2 linked regions of the Lepisosteus oculatus genome follow. The protein of the gene in region 1 purifies or fractionates together with the protein of each later gene. This does not show direct contact. Links are inferred from orthologs where the notes say so. Each region holds a gene or a part of one and is shown on either strand. Other genes may lie near its edges. The genes, in order: swsap1 and spidr.

Region 1 (7,462 bases):
GCAGAGTTATTGATAGCAGGGTAGTTTTAAGAATGCACTGGATGTTGAGCTGTTAGTTCATTTCTCTATTTGAACCACAGTGAATCTCTGGGCCAGAGCTTATGCAGGTGTCAAGGAGTTAAGCCACGATTCCAGAGACTGACTGATGTCAGACCATGCTGATGTATGTTAAGTTCTATAATATATACAGGGTTAATCAAAATGTTGTCAACGAGTATAAATGTCAATTGTTTTACTAAGGTTTTGTTTTCTCCTCCACAGATGGTGAAGGATTGTAAGGTAACTGTTAAAAAACTCTGACCGTTAATTACATGGGTTACTGTGATAAAAAAGGTTTCAAACAAAAGCGTAAATATCAAAGTTGTCGACCGCATTTTGATTAACCCTGTATTTTCCTTCATCTTTCAGTTCAAGTATCTAGAAGCTCTTCATAAGAAAAAAATTCAACTTCAACAAGCTCGGGAGGACAGTGCTGAGGAAATACAGAGAGAACTATCAGGTGAGGCATCGCCCACAGAGCGCATACCGATCATTCTGTTAGAAATAAAGAAATGAAGCCCGACCCCCTCTGTGTGAATAACAGATGACTCAAGTACACTGTAAGAGTTCTTTTGGACCCGTATGGATCTGAAACTTTCCCAGCCTGAATGTACGACTTGGTTATTTCATACTGTGGCTTTTCCAGGATTATGGTCCAGAATTCCTAGCCTGGGAATCTGCGCAGGTGAGCCATTATAGGCTTCTATTTTCAGGTGATGGAAGAGAATAGCCAGGAAAGTTTGGAATGATCAATCAGGAGCTGGCTGCGAACAGGATGAGAGGAATGTGATTTTTCATATAAACCAACTTCTAAGTTTGTCTGTTGTTTTTGTGCTCGACTGCCCTGTTTCAATAGCCTGCCCACACACAACAGGACACAAAACCCATAACCTCCTCCAAAATCCAAAAGACATTTAGGCCAAATAAGTGAATAAATGTTTTGTGCATTTCCAGCCACAAGGGAATCTCATTCCTGGCTCTTTTCTGGGATTGGGGTAAACTCCATGGCTCCGCTTGGGGTATAGACCAGCTCCCACTGGCGTCCCAGTCCAGAGTCCCGTCCTTCCGTCTGCTGGAAACCGGAGAAATAAATCCGGCAAGCTCTTGTCCCTGCACAGCTGGCGTCTCTTCCCAGCGTGCACCTGACGGGGAAGTAGCGCTCGAAGACGGAGAGGACCGAATCGCTGCCCGACGCCTCGGCTCCGCGTTCCGGGTGGGTATCCAAGGACACGATGAGCTGGCACTCGGCGGGGGGGTCTCCGGGGGCCCCGGCGCGGGCCCGGCTCAGGAAGGTGGCGGTGTCGCACAGCAGGGCGGAGAGGCGCGCGGCCATCTGGTGCGCCTGCTCGCCCTCCCCTCCCCAGCGCAGGTAGCGCTCCAAGCCGTCGACGATGAGGAGGGAGGGCGGCGCGCCGGCTGCCTCGTGCAGGCACGCGACGTCCCGCAGAAGCTCCTCCGCCGTCCGGGGGTACACGAACTTGATTTTCTGCAAATGCATGAGGGGACATCATGAGATGAAAGCGCTAAATAAGTGTAAGAAATAATAATGGTAATAATAAGAAGAATAATTATTATTGTTGTGGTTAGGAAATGTAGGTCAGCACGGTAGAAGAGTGGTGAACACTGCTGCCAATAAAGCCCTGGCTTCAATTCTGGGGTGCTGTCTGTGTGGAGCTTGCATGTTCTCCCTGTGTTCATGTGGATTTCCTCCAGGTGCTCCAGTTTCCTCCCACAGTCCAAAACCATACTGATTTTTTTTTCAATCAAAATAAACTTTATTTCAAAGAAAACATCTCACAAGAAGTATAGATTCCAACACATTTCTCAGTCAGGTGTCCATTATCATTCATTGCAAGTGGATGAAGGGTCCAGATTTGCACAATGAAAGAGTCCCTCCTAGCCCTACCGTAAACCATACTGATAGGTTAAGTGACTTCTGGGAAAACTGGCCGTGGGGTGAGTGTGTATCTGTTTATGTCTGTGTGTGCCCTGAGACAGACTGGCGTCCCGTCCTGGGTGTATCCTGCCTTGTGCCCATCACTTGCCTGGATAGGTTCCAGCTCCCCCACAACCTTGAATTAGAGCAAGCAGTGAGAACATGGCTGGAAGGGTGACACAGGCGTGTACGTTTGGTGAGACTGAGCTATGACCCCAGAGGACAGAGACTGCTCTCATCTGCTTAGTTCTAGGATGGCTCCAAGGAGGCTGGAAACTGATGCCATCTGCTTTTCTGTCTCCAACGGCTTTTTATTAAAATATTTACTAGACTGAAGACAGAAATACCTATATTGAGTGATTTAAAGATACTTAATACACTGAAGACTGAAAACAGACTGAAGACAAAAAAGATGTAATAGACACAGTCTATCAATATTTACTACACGTTCTGCGTTCTGTAAAAATCAAAATAAATTTGAGAGTTCTGTTACAGACGTGGGTAAGAGCCGGTGTTAATCATTTCAATATCCTTGACTACACAGCGTCAAAGTGAAGTTTTATGCCCCCGTAGACATGTGCACGGTACCTACTTTCAGGCTAGCGGGGTCCAAGCCTGCCCGCGCTTCCATCAGCGGAGCAGGGAGGGTCTGGATCGGAGTGGGGCTCAGAAAGATGACTTTCCGCCCCAGTTCGGAAGCCGCCATCACCGCTGTTAGAAACAGAAGGCACGTCTTGCCACAACCCCGGCCCCCCAGCAGGATACAAGACAGTGAGCGGGCTTCTCCCTCAGGAGGAGAAAGAGAAGGAGACGACTCGCGTCCCCGAGGACTGTAGCGATCGAAGACCCAAGTCAAGAGTTCTGCCATATTGCCATTACCATGGAAACAAAGCCGACAAGGGAGTAACTTCCTGTCTCCGCTCGGTCCGAAAACAAACCCACACGTGAACTCTTCCCGCGCTGTGTCAGGCCCCGCCCCCGAGCTGTTATAGGGCGAGATGTGCGTATGTCAGGTGTCTTGAGTTCCCATTGGATAAAAGAAACGTAGGATTAAACCGCAGCACCTTTTACTTGAAGACATATTCACGACACCTTGATAACGGAGATTTTAAAGTGCAAGCTATTTTTGACATTTAAAAAAAATGCAGTTGTCTCGTTGATCTGTTGAATCTCTCTGGTTTGATTAAATGTAGCTCCTTGCTTAGGATTAAAAAATTAAATACTTAAAGTTATCCAGACAGACTGCTTTAAAAATATAATAAGAAGAAAAGTCGGTTTTGAACTTTTTGTTACTCTTAGCGTGTGCTTGCGTTAAAGATAAACGTCGAAGAAGAAACTAATGTTACAGCCTAACCTGGTACAAGGAGAAATAGCGTGGGTACAGCAATTCTAGAGCGAAATGATTCGATTAATCAAAAGAAAAAAACAGTGTGTGGCCTACAACAGTATTGTAGCGCTCTCGGCATTTGCCACTTTTAAAAACAGTGCCAGAGGAATTGGTTTTGTCCCATGCTGTTCTTTCAATTTTGTGATTACACTGAATATGTGTACTGAAATAAAGTAAAAAGAATAAATATATTGCCGCTATCCAATCATTTTTCTGCAAGCAGTGTTTCCGGTGAGGTCAAGTCGCATACCTTGACTATTTCCGGTAAGGTCAGAAACATACACACAGCTGTTGACCAAGATGGCGCACATGAGTGCCGAGGAAGAGACGTCTCTAGACCAGGAGGCTGGAGACCAAATTTCGGCGATTCTGCGGCGCTGTCGGGGACGTCCTCGCCTCACTGACACGGACCGAGCTAAGAGGCGATTGGAGTCCCGGAAAAAGTACGACGTCCGGCGAGTGTACCTCGGGGAGTCGCACAAACTGTGGAGTGAACTTCGGAAGCGGACCAGTTTAAGCGACGCCGGACTAGCCGAGTATTTAATCCTGCTCGACTCGATTTATGGCGAGAGGTACCAGCAGAAATACGGCGGGTAAGCCATTTACAAAAAATATTTTATTATTATTCTTGTGAGCAGAACATGCTTCATTTAAGGGTAAGCTTACTAAATGGTACACGACCAGAACTAGTGCAAACCTAATATTCAGTTTAATAACCCTGTGCTCTCTCGACCAGGTACTTTGGCTGCTAGCAATATGATAATTTATTTTTTCAATAAATTTTGTCTCATTATAGTCTTTTTTTCTTCATAGAGAAGTCTTCCCAATCAGTCAATTCTAATCTAACCTTAGTTGTTGTGACAGTGGTATTTTGTCCATCTGTGCTATTACTGTAGATGTCTTATTTATGTAAATGTCTTGGCTCAGATGTTATGTTGCAAAACACATGGATTTTTAGTTGATCTGAAGCGTAATCTAGTGATTTTCAGATTCCCCTACAAATGCACTGAAATATTTCGCCTAAATCCCTCATCACGATTGCCGAATTTTGACTCACCCAGGAAAAATTGCTCACTGATATCTGCATTTGTAACTTCTGCAGTACAGCTATAAATGTTCTGTAAAACATTGCTAGAGTGAGCCAAGTAATGTCCAAACTGCATTGCACGTTGAACCATTTCTAATTTTACAGAGTTTAATCTTATTCATTTTGCCTTGCTGATCAGTGTGGGTTTTCTTGTGGTATTTTAACACATTAGTCTGTTCAGACTGTTTTGTTGCATCAGATGTGAGAAAATGTCCTACTGACCTTACAGCAAGGGGATAGGAAAATGCAATGACCTCTTTGAATTATTTCAATTACTTACTGCTGTCTAAACCATAGCCTGTATCATAACCCTCTTCTTGTCTTTCAGAAAGAAGCTGAGTGCGGAGTTTTGTGTCAAACCAAAAAGGGGTTAGTAAAAACAGTTGGTAACAAGAGGTAGTTGAACTGTAGAAATGTGCTAAAGCCCGTTGCTGTTTTAATTTGATGTCTGCACGTATCCCATACTTTTCAGTAAATATTTTCTCGTTTTTCCAAGTAAAAGCAAACTCCTTTCAATGAGCACATTTCGGTGCTAAAATAGTTACTTTTTTTGTAACATGGTCTTGAAGCTTTTTAGATAATTTGAGTGGCTGAAGTGAGACAATAATAGAAGCCCTGTACAATTTGCACATCGTTCTTAGTATTATCAAGACACTCCTATTTAAAATAATATCTAAAATAAGCTACAAAGACCTATATTTAAGCTGTTTAAGATTTAAGCCCTCCAAACACCCTGCATCTAATCTTGTGACTCTTGAAGCATTAATCCATCCATCCATTTTCTAACCACTTTATACAATACAGGATCAATGAGTAGCAGGAGCCAATCCCAGCAAGCTCTGGTTGCAAGGCAGGGCACACCCTGGACGAGACACCAGTCCGTCGCAGGGCGGACACAGTAGCACACACTCGCACCAGGGCCAACTTTGCCAGAAGCCAGTTAACCAATCAGCGTGTCTTTGGATTGTGGGAGGAAAGGTGTTTGTGGGTAAGAAGTAGAGAGACCTAGTACTGACAGTGGTGCCGTGCGCTTTACTGTCTGTGCCTGTGTCCCCTCAGGGAAGAAGAGCAATGTGAACTGTCTGAGCAGTCTGGTCAGCTGGTACATGGAGCACCAGAAGACCTGCCCCCACGAGCCCCAGCTGCACGCCCTCGAGCCTGTGCTGGGCTTCTCCACCACGGCGGTGTGGCAGTGCCAGGCCGGCCACGGCTACATGCAGCACCTGGTCTCTCCCAGCAAGGATGCCAGCGAGTCGGAGAACGAGCCCGAGCCCGACACGCCGCCATGCGACAGGGTGGCACCCTGCACCAGGAGGAAAACGGCCTCTGCGTGCCACCTGGGTGAATGGCCGAACCGGTTAAAGCCGACGCCAAAAGCCAACAATAATCAACATTTCTGCGTGTACATCCTTCGTGGGTTGACTGTGACGGTTTCTTTCCCTTTTCTCCTGCCGCAGACGCCACGGAGACGGCCGAGGAGATGTCGGAGGGCCTGCAGGGCGGCGATGGCGAGCTGGCCAGAGCAGAGCCCATCGCGCAGGACAGTCAGGGGCCTCCGCCGGGCCATCCCGGCGAAGCCGACGCGGACTCCCCGGCGGCTAGGTCTCTGTGGAACATGGAGGTGGTCTTGGAGGAGGGGGAGGCCGTGCTGGAGGGCAACAAGGCCGGCGAGCCCCCTGGGCAGCCGGAAAATGCGGCGGCATCCTCGGAATCGGGTCCCGGAGCCCTGGGCCGGCATGCGGCGGGACCGGAGGAGGAGAAGGGAGGGGGCGCGTTGGCCGCCGAGACGGACTACGAGTGCATGGTGGTCACTGCCGCCCTCACGGACAGGGCAGTCAAAGACGGGCGGGTTGGGGTGGCGGAGGACTCCGGGCGGGATCCGTCCCACCCTGCGCCCCCTCCTCCCCCCACCATGCACATCACCGGCGGCGGGGAGCTGTACGACCAGCAGACTCTGCAGACCGTGGTGGCCAGCTGTCAGATCCCCGACGCCCAGGGTGCCATTGAGGGATCCCAGGTAGGACCCCCCACCCATGGCCTTCCCATTTCCCTCAATCAGAGCTGGATCCACTGAAACGAGGCAACTCGAAACGTCTTGGCCTCCTCTTGTTCCGGAGCTCATAGTCGACACATCTTCTTTACTGGCTCGCTCCCTCTTCTGATTGCATGCCTGCTGTGGAATGTAAGAAAGGATACAAACAGGAGAGCTTTAGCCCACTTGTTTCTGGTTTGCTGATTGATATGAGGATCTCATGCATGCTTTTCTTCTAGGTTCCCTGGCAGTGTGCTGTAATAACACTACTGGCTATCTTATATTGCCCAGATTCCTATAATAATCCCTGTTTAAGCCATAAGCCTATGTTCTTTGATTTAATCAGTGGTCTCCTTGATTCACTGTTGGTCCTAAAATATCCTTCTTTTTAAGCTCAGTATTTTTCTGGGTTTTGTAACTGTTTGTACCAGTCTTGGACTGCTGATCCGTCCCTCCCACCTGTTTCTACGGGGAGGGGGAGTGGTGACTCTCAGTCAGTTTCCTTGTTTCTCCTGGCAGGTGATCATCATCACAGGGCCCAGCTATGAGGCCCTGACCACAGAGGGCCTGCAGCTGAACGTGGGCGAGAGCGTGGGGGAAGAGATGACCTGCACGGTCATCGAGGGGGTGGCGTATAACCAGGTCTGCGATTCTGGGCTCGGGCACAGGGGCGTCGTCCAGAGCTTGGACACTGCTAGAGGTCAGTCTTTGGCGGTTGTCACCTTGCAGCTCCTTTGTGTGTTTATGTAGATGAGATCTTAATCTTTGCTGCCTGTGTGCCTAGCTGCAGGTGTTTCAGTTCACGGTGTTTGTGTATTGAAGGCCAGTGTGCAAAGAGCCATTCTATCTTTAAATGAGATGTTTAACCTGCTAATGTGAGTAGCCTAGGCAGAAAGAACATAGAATTAGTAAAACTATAATGGGATACAGAAAAGGTGAACAAACAATGAATGTATTGGGAGAAATCATATGAGCTGTTAA
Region 2 (7,606 bases), on another chromosome or scaffold:
CCACACCCACAATTATTATATCCCGAAATACAGATGTCCCGGGACGATCAGAAAAGCATTTCCAAAGACCGGAGGCGGCTAATTATAAAAGAGGGATATTCTGAGTCGTCGCTCACAATGTTTTCAGATTGCCCATTCTTACAGTCTAAGCTGTTCAATTCATTCTTTATCTCCGATTTGCTTTTATTTTTTAATCAGCCCTTACCTTATAAAATAGAAATAATAAATATATATATTTCCAATATCGCAATCCAGTTCACTTGCGCGTTAGCTTGGCTCCTACGATTTTTCACGATTTCTGTATCTTGTCTTTAGGAAACACCATAACAGCATGAAAACTGATCGCTGTTTCTGAATCAAACAAGACTGTACCCCGATTTGTTATGCTTTTACCTTATATTTGTCGAACCCGGCCAGTTGCTGCGGCGACACATAATGGTAGTCAAACATGATCCCTGCGCTTTGCAGCTCGCCAGTTTCCAGCAGGGTTCTCCGACCCTGGCGAAGCGTCACCACAGTTGAAACTATCAGGACCGCAGCTGCCTGCAACCTCACAGCAGCTATCAACTTAAGGCATCGGCTGCGTCACTTCCTGAGGAGAAACCAGGTGGAAAAAAACCCTGGCTTGCTCACCCCAGCTGGATTTGGGGTTTTTTATGCTGCTGTCACTCCTGTGCGGCAGCTGTGCGACCGCGTCTTCTGTGGTCGCGTCATGCGTGATGGCACCAACACGTCGGCACCAGGTCACTTCATGGAGACATCGCCGGGAGACGGAGCTTAGCTGTCTATCATGACTGACTCCGCGGTGCCTCAGGCCCCTTGTCTATTTTGTCGTCCAAAAACCGACATTTTCTGTCTGATGGCCCGCCTCTTCACCACGAATTGGTGGATAACAGCTGACAGCTCAGCAAACGATTAAAAAACATTTACACACTGTGTGTAAAACATTCTGGGCAGATAAATGGTATTGTGGATCAATATTTACTATAATTGTTACAGATTCTTATCAAAAGCAATTTATTCAGCGATGTTCTTTTACAAATAAAACCAACTGTCATTGGTTGTCACAGCAGCAGAATCAGTGTTTCCTAAACTTATCATGGATGTAAGGATTTGTATTGTTACAGTGAGTCTGAGTCTGAGAAGTCTATGGTGAATATAAAGTTTTTTCCTTCCTTCCTTTTAAGTTGCAAATGTGCTGAGACCCAGCAACAGATAATTAGGCTTCCAAGTTATGGGAAGTTATTGTGAATATTTTTAGGCTTCCAGTTTTTAAAGACTAGACAACCTGGAAACTCCATACTGAAACTTTGAGCTCACTAAGACAAATACAAGCCATTATCTTAGTGACAACAAATTCAGTGTCAACCAAGATGGAAACCAGACCTGCACATTCAAAGCTCAAAACAACATTGAATTTCTGTAGTTACAATGACATTTAGCAGACTTCATCAACAACCACATCTTTGGGGGAAAAAATGCTTTAGAAAAATTGTTATGGTAAGTTTTATCTATAATGAGCTATAATGTTTTGAGAAAAGCAGCTCTTCACACAAGCAGCTTCTGCTAAAATGCTGTCTGAGCACTGAACTGCAAACTTTATAGTCGTAACTCTCACTAATTGGAACACTGTAAGTGATAATGGATAGCTGTGTAAACAAAGCTGGCTCTTTGCAGCCATTTTCTTTTTCTGGATTTCGAGATTTCAACCCATAAAACTAAATCCCACTGTTTAAAAAAACATTTTCCAGTTCAGTCTGTAGTGTTATGATGGTTTCAATTTACTGAAATAATTAGGAACTGGGAAAGTGAACTCAGGGCATACCTTATAGCCACTGCCTTATGGGGACAAACACAATTATGAATACAGCAATACATATACAAAATAAATCAATAAAATAATTATATTTATGATTCAATCTGCCATGAAACACACAATTGATCAATCGTTCAGGGTTTACAAAATACTAAAAATAGCAGGTCTAGATTACATTACCTCGTGAATACGATTACATAAACATTCACACATTAAGACTATTTTCCTGAATTCCACTTGATCTAACCTCTTCCTGTACCCACAACGACTGTGCTCCTACACCACTACATACACCATACCTCTGACAATTGAATGTAAGCCGAACTTGAACTTAAAACTGTACTTAATTGTAGTTGTTCTATTTGATATTCACCGTATTATTTTGCACTGTTTTGCTCTGTTTATGTACTTTTGCACAGTTTTTAACAGATATGGGTACTGCTGCACTGGTACCGTACTGTTGTTTACACTGTTATTGTTATTGTGTTTTCTGTCCTGCACCTGAGAGACTAATGAGAAACACTTTTCATTATTCTATGCACCTGTGTAAGTATAATGAAAAATACAGTTGAGCTGAATTGCATCATGTTTGAAATAGCTGGTTAATTTTCGTTATTAAACATTATAGCTGGATCTGGCTGCAGCTGTCCACTCCTTGTCCTCATCTCTGTGCCGAAGGAGTTCCAGCTGAAGCAGGGACAGCTGAGTGGGGCCTCATGTTGAAGATGGCTCCTCAGAATGAACTTGGGTACAGCGGCAATTGAGACATAGATAGAAAGTTCACTTGCCTGTAATCAGTAGTTGCTATTCTGAATATTCTATGATATTCAGTGGTGCTGACAAAAGTTTGACTGTGTTATTCCATTGATCAGGCACAACTACAATTGGGAGCTTGTGGGAAAATGTCTGTTGTTGCAGATGAAGTCTTGAGTAGAATTAAGTTTATACAGGTCTCTCAGTCAGGCAGATGCTTTCAGCTAAGTTTGTTCCAGTTGTTCAAGCAATGGTGGATCCAGTCAAGAGATTAGTTAGCCGTCAAGTTGCCAAGGTTTCAAGAGTCACAGGGCTTCTCAGACTGTTGTGTAGAGCCTTTCCAGGTGCATCGTCACAGGTTGTGATATCAACAGGCGTAATGTTCATGTCATGTGGCCGCTTCCTCCTCGGTGAATCACTCTGGCCTTGACAATGGATTTGTAACAGATCACAAGCTGGGATTCAACTCAGATGTCTCCTCTTTTGGAAGACAAAAATTATGGAGAAGAAGAGTCCAATTTATGATGTCCCGATTTCTACTAACCAGTCAGCCCTTCCTATCGGCCAGCCCCTCATCTCCATCTCCCCAGTATTCCTAAGAAACTGACTTAAAGCAGTTAAGTAGTGCCAGGGTAATTTTCCCTTCAAGACAAGAGAAACATTGCGCAATTTCTGAGCAGTTAATTCAAAGTCTAATGATAATAGCTGCCACAACTCCAAAACTCCAAGCATGATGTCATTGTGCGGCGCATTAAAGTCTCACACACTGTCGTTCCTATGTATAACAAGATGGCCACAGGACCGTCATGCTCTCACAATTCAGACTGTCTCTGTCTGTCTTGGACACTACTTCACAGATTACGTCTGAAACGTGGAAGATTTCATGAACAAGTAAAGCTGTTAATGATGTGCACAAAAATGTTTACAAAAACTGTGCCTGTTGCCACCAAACAAATACAGGTATTTGGTGTCATTTTAGTGATAATAAGATTATCTACCTTAAAATAGTATGGCTGCCTGCCTGCCTTTTTGTCTCAAACTTCACACTGTTCAAATCATAGTGAGTGTTCCAGCTATTGACTTAAAACGTGGCAGAGACCATCATACGAAAACCTGCCTCAGACTTATATGTCTTATATGCAGCAACAATACTTGTTTTTGCCATAATGACCAGCTTAATGAAATGTATCCAGTACCACTAACTGCCTTTCTTCAGAAACTATTTGGCAAATAAACTCATAATCTGTCATATAATCTACAGTGTTTGGTATATTGAGATTTTCAGAAAGCTTCCGATAAAGTTCCTCATCAAAGATGAATTCTCAAATTTCAGGCTGTAGGTATTCAACTGTGTAAGGAAATACTGTACATTTTAATTCTCCATTAGTTCACCCAGAACACCCACACTGTTAAAGCAGGCGGGCAGAGGCTTGCTTGCAGTTCATGGTTTACGTTGCTGTCACTGCATGTAACACTTTGCTTCTGAACATTAAATGCAGATCTGCCACATTTACCAGGTGTAAAAAAGAAAGAAAGACCTTCACCTTACAGGTGAAAAAACAAAACACAACGTTTCGGCCGTGGAGCCACACATCTGAAGAAGGCTCCACGGCCGAAACGTTGTGTTTTCTTTCTTCTTTTTTCAGCATGGAGTAAACCTATTACTTATTCCTTTGCAGCCTACGCATGCTGACGCAGATACCCACCTGAACTAGGTAGTAGATGTATTGCTAATAATTTAGGCTTGTCCCAAATCTCACTTTTTTTTCTAACCAGATGAAGACGTTAAAGTCTTTTATCATTGTTGTTCAACCTAAACTATTCGAACCAGCTAAAACAGACGTCCGGGAATGAACCCTACATTGTACTGCATTCCCCAGAATACGTTGCGCAGCCTATGACGACACTTCCTCTTTTGACGGTTTGTCCAATCATCCACGCCAGTGAAGTGGCGCGCCAAGGAGAAAGTAACAGCATCACAGGAAGGTAAATAGTTAAAAAGACAGTACGGGAGGATTATGACTATTGTCACATTGTAGAGCAATTAACACAAATCACGGTCACAACAGACGAAGTAGCTGAAGACCGGGTTTGTACATTATGCATTAGTAAATGGAACAGCCATGTCTCTTTTTGCAAAGGTAAGTGGGACTTTTATGAACTTTGGCTGCGCAATGTGGCTAGTGACCAGAGTGGCCTGAAGTACCTTGTTGCAGAACCACGTTTCTTCTCAGTGTTTAGTTTTATAAACCGCTGTGCCAGGGTATGGAGCTGTTTTATCTCCTCTGGAGAGGCGTGCCAAGTGAAACGTGGCAGAAACTCGCTCTCCTCCTCTCGGCTGGATAGTGCTGAGCTGCGCTAGAGCAAGAGCCACCGGCTGAAAGCGAAAACAGCGTTTGTGCATCATATTCGTGTCTTTTCTCCGTTTCCCTGCTTATAACGCTACTGCATGTCCGCGGCAATTGCCCCTTATGAAACTTTTAATGAGCTGCTATTAAATTAATAATATTTACCGAATATTCCAGACTGTAATCCTTCGTGTTCTTATATTATTTATTTAACAAAAAAAAAACCGTATTGAAGGGTATTTAACCACAACAGTTGATCTTTCAATATAGCAGTCTGCTCAGTTAGGGCGCAGGACGTGTGCCAGTCACCTATAATAATAAAAAAAAACAACAACATTTCGCTGAAATGAGATCGGTGCTCGAAGGATTGTAAAGCGCTATGATTTTGGCTTGAATTCCGTTAGAGGAAGAGGAGATCGAGAGAAGTCAGACGCGCGGTCTTTCCTGACGATGTCAAGGACGGAGTGCAAACGCTGGGAAATGAGAGCACACGTCCTCCCTCCTCTGTTGCCAAGTCCTGGGAGCGCCGTGGGGACGGATTCAGGGACTGCCCTGTTGTCGAGGGACAGGTACGTAGCCCAACACTCATCACGAACAAGGAGATGCCTGCTCCCAGCCTATAGCTTAAAACCTCACCATGTATACAGCTTGTCACCTTATCATGAGTAAACGTGCACAAGCAGAGAGAGGCAAGGTGGCCTAGCACATAAGATAAGATCACTTTACTGGCCGTATACAATGTGTCTTTTCGCATACACCAACTTGTTCTAAAAGGGACACACAGACAGGGAGAGAAGCTTGGGGTCAGAGCGCAGGGTCAGCCATTTATACGTGGCCCCTGGAGCAGTTGGGGTGAAGGGCCTTGCTCAGGGGCCCAAAGGAGTAGGATTCCTCTGCCGGCCGCGGGATACGAACCGGCAACCTTCCAGCCACAGAGCCACCACACCGGCCTTGGCGTTACTGTCTTGGTCTCGGATCCTGGCTTCTACTGTAAATGTGCCGGTTGCTGCCATTTTTCAATGTTTTTTTATCGCTGAGTAATAGGTTGCCCTATTGCCCCTCTCCCTTTCGGTTTAATTTTCAGAAACTGGGCAGTTCTGGAAAGAAGTTAAGAGCTGTGAGGCAGTTGGTTCATTCTTCATTCTTAGCTAAAGGTAAGTGAATTGGCGGAAGCAAAGCCGAATTCTTGAAGGTCAGTTGAAAATACAATGTCTTTTGGATCTGTTATAGCACCGAAACCTGCAGAATGCTTGTGGGTATTTTGTGTGCACAGTCAATTTCAGTGTCCAGGTGTTTGGGTGAAACTGTTTTTTGTTTAAGAAACTAATACTTACCGGTATTCCGCCTGATTTTGAATAGTAGGTGTTGCCTTTTGTGTCTCAGATTGCATCTGCTAATATTAATAATTCCTCACACTTTTATATAGTGCTTTTCTGGACACTCCACTCAAAGTGCTTTACAGGTAATGGGGACTCCCCTCCACCACCACCAGTGTGCAGCTCCACCTGGATGATGCGACGGCAGCCATAGTGCGCCAGAACGCTCACCACACATCAGCTCTCAGTGGGGAGGAGAGCAGAGTCATGAAGCCAATTCATATATGGGGATTATTAAGAGGCCACGATTGAGAAGGGCCAATGAGAAATTTTGGCCTGGACGCTGGGGTTACACCTCTACTCTTTTCCAGAAACACCCCAGGATTTTTAATGACCACCGAGAGTCAGGACCTCGGTTTTACGTCTCATCAATCTCAAAAGGTCAGCGCCTGTTTACAGTATAGTGTCCCCGTCACTATACTGGGGCATTAGGACCCACATGGACTGCAGGGTGAGCGCCTCCTGTTGGCCCCACTAACACCTCTCCCAGCAGCAACCTTAGTTTTTCCCAGGAGGTCTCCCATCCAGGTACTGACCAGGCTCACGCCTGCTGAGCTTCAGTGGGCTGCCAGTTGTGAGATGCAGGGAGATATGGCAGTTGGGAAATGTAGTCAGACTCCACCGACCTGCCCACTTTGAAAGCAAGGGAACGTGAGAAACGTAGTGAATGAGAGGAGGCCTTTCAGCCCGTCTCTTCGGCACTTTAAGAGCTGAGTGACCAGGGGAAAGAACCCAGGATATTGGCTTCAGCACCTTGGCAGGTAGCTTGTTCCACACCTCCAGTACTGTCAAACACACAGATCAGAAGCGATGCTGTACTACCGGGATGCTAGGGGTGGACTTTACCCCATGCCTCTGGAAGAGACTGCACCAGTCACCTCAGAGTTTGGTATGAATGATACTGTTACCCATGGGCCACCTTCCAGTTTTCGCCCTCTGCCCTAAGCCCTTCCTTCAAGTCCACACTTCAGTGACACAGAGCAAGTGTGCGAGGATTGGAGGGGGCATCATTATAAAAAGAGTAAAGAAGTGTGGTTTCACAGCTCACGGTCAAAATGCCTTTTGTTGAACTGAATTTCATCTCATCTATGCCTGCACAAAAGTAGTGACACATTGTGTTCATGTTGAGCAAGCTCAACTCAAAACGGGCAAAGTAAACTATAGAAAACTTTTCAGTACCACTCAGGTTATTCAAAGCTGTGTACTACTACAAATACATTTAAAAAATGACAGTACGGTGAACATAACGAGCCCATTCACATTTGTTCAAAGAAAACTATATTAAACTTGGCAATACCTCAAAGCTTTGTACT

Evidence for each region.
Region 2: the proteins of swsap1 (region 1) and spidr purify together in Homo sapiens (co-immunoprecipitation; 3 studies listed by BioGRID and IntAct, with this or other methods). This does not show direct contact. The link is inferred for Lepisosteus oculatus from reciprocal best matches to the Homo sapiens genes SWSAP1 and SPIDR.

Annotation. Positions count from the first base shown.
Region 1 is NC_090706.1:17,214,734-17,222,195, reverse strand, and holds swsap1 (ATPase SWSAP1), read right to left. Parts: upstream 2,933-7,462; 5' UTR 2,844-2,932; coding exon 2,568-2,843; intron 1,526-2,567; coding exon 1,007-1,525; 3' UTR 666-1,006; downstream 1-665. Other genes in the region: znf653 (zinc finger protein 653), read left to right, coding at 3,663-3,955, 4,778-4,818, 5,509-5,790, 5,907-6,466, 7,001-7,181. UniProt on the Homo sapiens protein: ATPase which is preferentially stimulated by single-stranded DNA and is involved in homologous recombination repair (HRR). Has a DNA-binding activity which is independent of its ATPase activity.
Region 2 is NC_090701.1:46,923,459-46,931,064, forward strand, and holds the start of spidr (DNA repair-scaffolding protein), read left to right. Parts: upstream 1-4,517; 5' UTR 4,518-4,692; coding exon 4,693-4,710; intron 4,711-5,321; coding exon 5,322-5,486; intron 5,487-6,001; coding exon 6,002-6,071; intron 6,072-7,606. UniProt on the Homo sapiens protein: Plays a role in DNA double-strand break (DBS) repair via homologous recombination (HR).